Linked DNA regions of Caenorhabditis elegans. The protein of the gene in region 1 purifies or fractionates together with the protein of each later gene. This does not show direct contact. Each region holds a gene or a part of one and is shown on either strand. Other genes may lie near its edges.

Region 1 (5,210 bases):
AGCAATGAAAAAGAAGTAGCTGATCAAACATCTGCTGTTGAGGATATCTGTAAAAGTCACGAAGCTCTAGATTTTGATTCTGGAGCCTCACCTGATAAGAGGGCAACTTTATGGAAAGCTCGACACAATGCATACTACGCTGCTCTTGCAATGAGAACAGGAGCAAGAGTGAGTCTTGGTATTTTGAAATTGAAAAGTGTGAAATTTTTATTTCAGGGATTCACGACAGACGTATGTGTACCAATATCAAAACTAGCAGATGTGATATCAGAAACAAGATCTGATCTAGATGAACATGAAATTCTTGGAACTGTTGTTGGTCATGTTGGTGATGGAAATTTCCATGTTATCCTCCCAACAATTGAAGAAGATAAAACTGAGCATAGAAAGATCCAATCGTTTTCTGATCGTCTTGTAAGACGTGCTCTGGCTGCAGATGGAACATGCACTGGAGAACATGGAATTGGACTTGGAAAAAGAAAATACTTGAGAGAAGAATTAGGAGAGAATACTGTACGGTTGATGCACACGATCAAACACGCGTTGGATCCTAATAATATTATGAATCCAGGAAAAGTCCTTCCAGAATTGTAAATGCGTATTTTCTGTAAGTAGAATGAAGTGAAGAATGAAAAATTACCCAACTATTTTGAATTGAATTATTTAATTAAATACTGGGCACTACAAATTTATCACTATTTTATATCAATTCCTCTTTTAACTATAAGATATGAGAAGTCGATGTCGAACTATTTTTTGCGGAATAAGAACGACGGATAGGATTTTGTATACTTGCCTTTATAAAAATGTTTCTTCAAAAATAAAATAAAAAGTCGAGCACCTAACAAATTGGAATCCGACATGATTCAAACACCAGGAATATTCACAACGGAAGCCAATTTCTTATAAGCTTATACCAAAAAAGACAGAAATTTCACTTATTCAGGACGTAGTTGATAAAGCGGATTTGCGTTTATGATACCCACCGGCACGGGAGAAAAGAACAAGGATTAGAATCTGGAAGACTGGATTGTATTTAAGGAAAAGATTTTGCTTTTTTAGTGGATAATTCCTTGCAGAAAACTACACTTTGATTCAAATTATCTCGAAAAATGAAATTCTTATTGTTTTTGTATTTCACTGTGCTTGCATTTTGTGAAATTCAATGTGTGCCATTATTCAAAGGTAACATTTTTTTGATTACTTTCATACTTTTAAAGCAAATAATTATTTCAGATATTGACTATAAGCTCTATGAATATGACACTGGAGTTGCGGTGGATTCTGTTTTTGAAATAGTTCCAGATACGTCAAAAAAAGTGGCTTCCATCGGAAAAAGACATCGGAAGCATCATGAAAAATTGTAGATAAATTGAGATTTTAATTGTTCATATTTAAATTGTTTTATTGTATTTAACATGTTTCCGCACATCGTTTTTCATAAAAATTGTTATAGTTGAATGAATCTATGAGATCTTGTTGTATGAAATAAAATGTTAATCAAATAAAACCAAGATTTACAACATTCTCTTTGCAAACCGGTTTCTGCGATGACGGAGAGCTCTCATAATTCGTTTTTGTTTGAGAAAATTCTCATACAATGCAACTTTTGCTGCATTCATTCCTGGTGGCCCATAGGAAAAGTCTGGAGGAGGAGTTGCTGATGGAGCTCCGATCATGTCAGACGAGAGTTCTTGTAGCATTGGAGGAGCCGATGGAGGTGTTGGTCCATTACGAAGAACTATCAGTGGTACTGTTACGAGTTCATCAGCAATTTCAGTAGCTGTTATAAGTTCAGTTGTCGGCTCTTCAGTTGTTGCTCTAGTAGGTTCTTCTGTGGTAGTTGTGATAACAACTGGAACGGCTTCATAGAGTCGTCTAGGTGGTTGTAGTTCAAAACGTCGAAGTTTGGTCCGTGGGCATTCTTCCGGTAGAACACACAATTTGAGAGAATTCCGAACAAATCCATTTCGACAAGTGCATCCAGGCTCACATTTAGAGCAATACTGGAATTTTTTGAATTATACCGATAATAGTACTATTGGAAACTTTGCCTGTTATTTACGATTGGATTTGAGAAAAAAGGTTCTTACCGGGTCTGGATTGTTGCAGGTTGATTCACAGGCACAATGAGAAAATGATTGGAACATAGGGCAGTTTTCTGAAACCTTTCAATTGTATTTAAATTCCCATTCAAATTACATACCTTCTCCATTTATTCTAGTGGTATCATTCATACGTAGTCTTTGAATAATCAAAGATAACCTTTGTTTATTGACTTTTGGAGTTTTCAATGTTCGAAAAGCTTTATGCCGGAACTCATGAGATACTTGAGAAAATGTGGATAACACAAGTAGAAAAGGTAATAAAATGGAGAGAGTATGCATCTGCAAATGAGAATGTAGGTGAATGTAATGAATGAGAGATGGAAATGGAACAGTTCAGACAAATGGAATGGCAAGGTGCGAATATGAATCGGAAAGGAATACGATATTATTAATTTGATGATGATGGGCAATTCCGATAAAAGCTATAAAAATCTAGAGGAACGGCCTTCAAACATTCAAACATGGCTTCACTCTACAGAAGTAGCCACTGTTTCAGTCCGTCTTTAATAGTCTCGAGGAAATTCAGATCTCGAAAAATAGTACAGTAAGGTGAGACCTGCATCTAGATATTATTACAAGGTTTTGTATGTCTCAGTAGACAAAAAAAAGAGAGAAGAAACAGTGAAACAATGTTCAGAGACGCAGACGGAAGCCGTTTGTGGAACCGAACTGAAGAAGAAAGTGAGTGAAAAACGTGACGAACGAGACGGGCTGGGGATTCGGACAAAAGGTGGTCATCTGTACAGAACTAATTGATATGGAAACAATCACAGAACACAGAGGAACATGGTGATGTAATGGAATTTGATAAGGATTGAGGGGAAAAGCTGATGAAAAGGGCGTAAAATCGAATAAAAAGGAGAATGGAAAGCGAGGGAAAAACTAGGAAGGACGAAAGAAATGAGGTGAAACGGGGGATGAAAATTCGTTGTTTATGTGGGTCAGTTTTGGAAAAAAAACAATATGCTTAAAATCAATTTCATATATAATTTGAAAAATAATAAGAACAAACTATATAGTGAGATATGTGACATTCTGAAATTTGGAATCTCGTATTAATCTTTGCCAGTGCCTGTGAGATTGTTGTTTTACAAATCACACATGCTGAAAACAGATTAATAAATAAACAATTTCCACCGGAAATCCCTACCTTGCAATACCAATGTTAACTTCATAACCGACAACAACCCTTGCTGTATCGAAACTATTAAATGAAGCAAACTCCGGTTTGAAGGTGAACATCTTTTTCAGCAAAAGGGTTTTCTGGAAAAAAAAACAAATTAGTTGCAACAAAAAAAGATAAAATTAATTGAACTTACCTTACCCCTTGAACTGATAATATTCACAAATCCGGTCAATTCTACGCCACGTACTTCCTTACTTCTGAACAACAGTTTATCTAATTGTAGAGAAATACAAATAAAATAACGCACGTTCCAATTGAGTATTCATAAAAAATTTTATAATCTTCAAGTTCAAACGAACGAACACATTTGTGTGTTTTCACTTCTTGTGTAAATCTTGTTCGCAATGTTTGAAGGAAGTTTTTTTCGCCTTTTTCAGGATACCCAGAGGATGTACTCTAAACATTGAAAGTATAATTATATTTTTCTCCGACTTTCAAAGAAATTACCATATTCATGCATAAACATATATTTTCTGATATTCCTTCAGACGTACAGTTCCTTGATGTTGGTTGAGCTATGAAGACAGATTTTGAAGATTTTTCTTTCGGATTGATTAATTCAACAAGCATTTGATTGAAATTAGTAGAAGACAATAACCTAAACTCAGATATTCTTTTTAAATATAATTTTTAGACCTAACCTGTTGAAATTCATATTCATGAAATATAGTTTCTGATTATTATTTTCTATGAATTGGTTGGATGGACGAAAAGCAAACATTGGATATTTGTCGTTTTCGTTTTCAATATCTCTGCAAATTGTTCAAATTAACATGTAATGTAAATAAGAATCTCACTTTGTTGATAAGTCGTACGAAGTGATGATTAGTGTAGTGTTCTCGAAAATGTTTGATTCCTTTAATAGATCCAACATTTTTCTGAAAAAAGGTCCGTTTTTTTCCTCAAAAACTTTTATAATACTTCAAATCTTGATCAATTGATTGTCTACGATATTCATCATATTCATCAATAAACATTGCTGAAAACACCTTGGAATCTGCTGTTGATGTCAGAAATGCTCCGATTTTTTCCAATTGATCATTTACTAATTTCTAGAAAAATTGTGATATAAACTTTTTTTGAAATATAAAACTTACTTTTCCATTTTTCAAACATAAGTTTCCATCAATTAAGAATTGTGTTATGAAATTCTGATGATCCAAAGTATCATAATCTACATCAATCATATATCTGATTTGTTGTGGACCAGAGAAAAAAGTTGTAAAATTATTTTGCTTTGCTTTTCTGAACATATTAATTTTATTTGAAATTCCAAGTTGTAGTAACAAATCTTGCATTGAATTTGGTTCATTCTGAATATTAGCGATATTGATAATTACAAAATCGAGTAACATCTTACTTTGCTCATAAATTGTGCAAATCTGAACTGGTTGTCTTGCATGAAATGCTTACTCAACGGCATTTTCTTCATAAATAGTTTGTGATTTATTGCTGGAAGAAATATTATGGCAATTGATCCCCCGTTTGATTTCTAAAATGGTGTTGAATTTTAGATTCTATTGTTAACTCATCTTACTTTTGGAATTGATGCAAAATTCACAAAGGGTTTCAGAAATTCAACAATACCGTTTCTTTCGCAAGCAAAAGCAAAATTGTAGAATGGAACTTTAACGGGCACATTTTTTTCAACCTGATGTTTATGATTATTAAAGATTTAATTTTAACTTTCATACCTTAATTGGGTGCTCATTTGGCCCACTATTTTTGTAAAAGGTGCATCTGAAGTTATATGTTGAGTTATTGACTTATTGAAGACAAAAAATTAAATAGTTCAAACCTTATATCAGAGGGTAAATCATTTGTATTTTTTGATCGAAGTGTCAAATATCCGTCAGATGATAAGTCAACCTTTTCATTCAGTTCATTTATTTTGCATTCGCCTCTTGAAATGTTAT
Region 2 (3,919 bases), on another chromosome or scaffold:
TCCATCCACAACAACTAAATACCTTCGACCAGTTTCACTATTTTCATCTGGAGCACATTATTCAAATCCGGGTCGGTGAGCCCTGCTCCGATGAAGTTTGTGGAGATGAACCATTCTTATACTCTTAAATAAGAAACATTTAATTGAAAAAGTTTTATGATTAGCCACAAGTAAAGATGCATTTCTCACCAAACGCCACGGACACCTTTTGACAAATGAAAAATTGAGTTTGTTTTAGAAACGTTATAGTAGCTGATTTTTTGATCAGAAAATTTTTATCTATAGCAAAACGCCACTGCTGAATACAGAATTTTAAAATAATCCTCTACAAAATTTGTACTTTAAAGTTTGTGCATGACAACTTACCGATAAAAAAGCGAGTACATTCGTTCAAAAAAGTTCGAAAAAATCAGAGACCGCTCTCCAAGCAGTCAGTATCGGATGGATTCTGAAATATCGATTACTCCAAATGGGAAACACTTTTTCAAAAACTTACAGTTTCACAAAAAATCAGAAGAAAAATGGAGCATCACACAAACGCCCAAAGGTAACAACCCTGAAGTCATGGATCGAAACGTTATATATTCAAAAAAAAAAATCAGATAGATACATATAATAAGGGGAAAGTGATTCAACTCATGGAAACGCAAAAAAGAAAAATATAAAATATAAAACTGATTTATTTTATCAAAAATTTTTTTTACTTTTTCGAAGCAGCCAAAGTAGGCCACTAACTTGATTTTCTCAAACTTAATTGGTTGTGCTTTGGAGTCGGGGTCGTACAATGGGTCGATTAATGCTACCCTCTGAAACGTTTTATTATACTGACTGAGCCTCAATTAGTTGAACTGAAAATAACACACCTTATATCCGTTGTAGAAGACAATGATCACATTCATTTTGATCTCTCATCTCATATCAAATCCGTAGTTCCTTCGACAACGAAATTGAGACCTAATTGGACGTGGAGGACACCTAAATACAAAAATTTGATTGGATAAGTTCTATGATCAACCGGTCGCAGGCTGATAATTTTTTCTAGAACAGTTCCAACTTACTGATTAAAAAAGTCCGAAGAATTCTTTCAAAAAAAAAATCAAATAACTAGAAACCGCTCTCCAAGCAGTCAGCTACTGATGGTTTCTGTAAATGCTCAATTATTCCAAATTGGAAAAACTTTTTCAAAAACTCACAGTTTACCAAAAAATCAGAAGAAAAAGAGAGCATCACACAGACGCCCAACAATACCATGATGAATGAAACAAGCGTGTTTCTCCGATTGTACGGAGGTTTGAGAAAATGGGGACATCACCATGGATATTATGAAGGATGAATGTCAAACAAAAATAATGAGGTCCATTCCGGCGCAAAATGGCATGGAGATCCGAAAAAAACGGGTGTTGTCATGGATATTGCTCCGATTCGCGCAAAATGCATCCTGGCGCCTGACGAATATTAATGAGATGATGTCAAGGTTGGAAAGGTGAACTACTAAAACCAAGCAATAATGTTTAAAATTGTTCGGAAACATTAAAGAGGCCTTGCAGACTATTTGAATCTCTTCAAAAATCTTAACAAATGTTTGGAAATCTATTGGGAAATTATTATACAGTGAGCCCAAATGATATGAGAAATTCTTAATTTAAGGTGTTTCGTCCGTCAGAAGTGTAAGAAGTCCGTCAGTGTCTATAGAATGATAGAAAATGTACATATAGAAAAAGAACCCTGAATTGATAGTGTGGCACTTTCTCAACATTTATCAAAAAGTGCCAGTTTTACTGCAAATCTTGTCCAATTTATGCTTCCCAAATTTTTCGATTATTTGTAAAACAAAAATATCAAAATTGAGGTGAACATGAACTTGTAAAATTGTCAAAAAAAATTTTAATATCGAATTAAATATAATTTGAAAATCATTTCAGCCTAAATTATCAAGAGGTCCTACATATGTCCATGGCCTTATAGGTGATAGCGTTCTTTAAATCACCAACGATTGCCAAGTTTCAGTCTCTAAAGTAAAAGGAAAACATAAAATATCTAACTATTCTAGATATAAACTGTGGGAACCGCTTGTTGACTTTTTCCTTCATATAAAATGTGCCCGACACTCACTCAGAGCCTCACAAGATGTGGGTATCTGTGATACTTTCTGTACTGTTACTTCCCTTCACTGCTGGAATAGACTCTGGAGCCAAGAATTCTACCTACCAATTTGCAATTGTCACTGGTGAACCAACAGTGTTAAATGCATCGTCAATAATCCAAGTGGCTTCATTCAAAGAATGTACAGAGAAGTGTTTGGAAGAGTTTGATTGTGTCGTGGCTTATCAGTCAAATGCATCAGATCCTTGTTATCTGTTCCAGTGGAATTCGATTCAAGAGATTAAGAACAATGCATGTGTGCAAATGTATATTACATAGAGGCCACTAAACAATGCACAAAGTATTGGATATCCGCTTTAACTTTCCTGAAAAGAACCGAAGCATCCGAGGGGCATCGTATGGCGTTGAAAATACCATTGAGTAATCGGTCATGCTCATTAACAACTGAACAGCTGTTGGATAATCAGTATTATGTGAGTTTATAATTTGTAGTTTTCCCTAACTCAGGAAATGTGTGTATAGTGAAAAGCGGACCTAAATTGGCTCTATACTTCTAGTGGAGAAGCACAGTGGAGTTTAAAGAATATTCATCCATTTGTAGTTCTCTCAAACTATTATTCTAGTCCGGTATATTTCCAGATGCCGTCCCCATATTTATTCCCACTAATGAAGCGACAATACATTGGCGTTAGAACTTCTCCAAAATACTACGCTCTTATGACTTACAGTAAGTGAACTATAAACTCCATCCTACAAACAAAAATTTTCCACAGAGGACGACCAGACACAATATATACCTGCTGAAACTGGATGCCCAGCATTCCAGTTTACGTCCTTCCTTGAGCAAGGCATAATCGATAACTCTTCAGTTTGCTATTGGCACAACATTGCGCCAGGAATCACTCAACTGGAAGCGAAGGAGCTCTGCGAGCTTCAGGGAATGAAGCTGCTAATTGAAAGATACGAGGGAGCATTTCCGAGTGATAATGGGGGATTTCCACCTGCAAAAAGTACGCCGCTTGCACACCCTCTTGCGAGCAGAGTCGGTTTTGTCGGATACTCGGTAAAACGTCGTGCGAATAAACTAAAACTTTGCAAATATATTATTCCAGGACGTTCGAACCTGGCTCGGTTTGGAGAGAGATCCAGTGGACAAGACGTGGAAGTGGAGTGAACCATCATTTTCTGTAAAGGGTCCCGAAGGCAAGGTTGCGATGACATGGGGACCTGGAGAGCCAAAAGAAGCGCCTGAAAAGTCAGTGTTTTGGGTTTTATTGGTGAATGAAAGTTTATTTTCAGCAATTGTGCCTATTTGCGGAAAAATGATTCAATGAAGGAATTTCCTAATTACGCCCTCTTTGCTGCACCGTGAGTAGATAAAAAAAAATCAGCGATGGAAATCAGCTAAACAAATTTCAGATGCAACTCCAACGATGTTGATGGTTTTTCAATCGGGTCTCTACCTCAATCGGCGCGGGGAATTCCAACGTGGACTCGTTAGTTGAGGAGTACGGCCGCAATCAAAGATGTTGTTCAATCGACGCCGAATTCTCAATTCCATGGAGAGGCATCGAGTTGTAATATGTTCACTATATTATTTTCGCATGAAGCTATTAATAAAATGATTGTTGAAAATACCTGCTAAGAACGTCATTGTAGAATTCCAATATTGACTAAGTATATTCGGGTTACGGATGGTTTACGACTACGTAATGTCTCATTTTTTCTTTAAAGGTGGATTAGCACCAATGGGGATTTTGTCAAAATGCACTCATAATGATCCTAAACAACCAAATATCATGATAAAACATTCCAA

The links.
Region 2: the proteins of F32D8.3 (region 1) and Y26D4A.5 fractionate together in Caenorhabditis elegans (co-fractionation; one large-scale study listed by BioGRID). This does not show direct contact.

What each region holds. Positions count from the first base shown.
Region 1 is NC_003283.11:10,884,147-10,889,356, reverse strand, and holds F32D8.3 (TIL domain-containing protein), read right to left. Parts: upstream 2,521-5,210; 5' UTR 2,388-2,520; coding exon 2,207-2,387; intron 2,162-2,206; coding exon 2,094-2,161; intron 2,007-2,093; coding exon 1,518-2,006; 3' UTR 1,384-1,517; downstream 1-1,383. Other genes in the region: F32D8.12 (D-lactate dehydrogenase (cytochrome)), read left to right, coding at 1-168, 217-594; F32D8.11 (uncharacterized protein), read left to right, coding at 1,113-1,185, 1,237-1,367; F32D8.2 (ATPase_AAA_core domain-containing protein), read right to left, coding at 3,255-3,371, 3,428-3,491, 3,542-3,690, 3,742-3,892, 3,936-4,046, 4,092-4,172, 4,216-4,346, 4,392-4,607 and 4 more.
Region 2 is NC_003279.8:13,073,602-13,077,520, reverse strand, and holds Y26D4A.5 (uncharacterized protein), read right to left. Parts: upstream 967-3,919; 5' UTR 900-966; coding exon 864-899; intron 807-863; coding exon 501-806; downstream 1-500.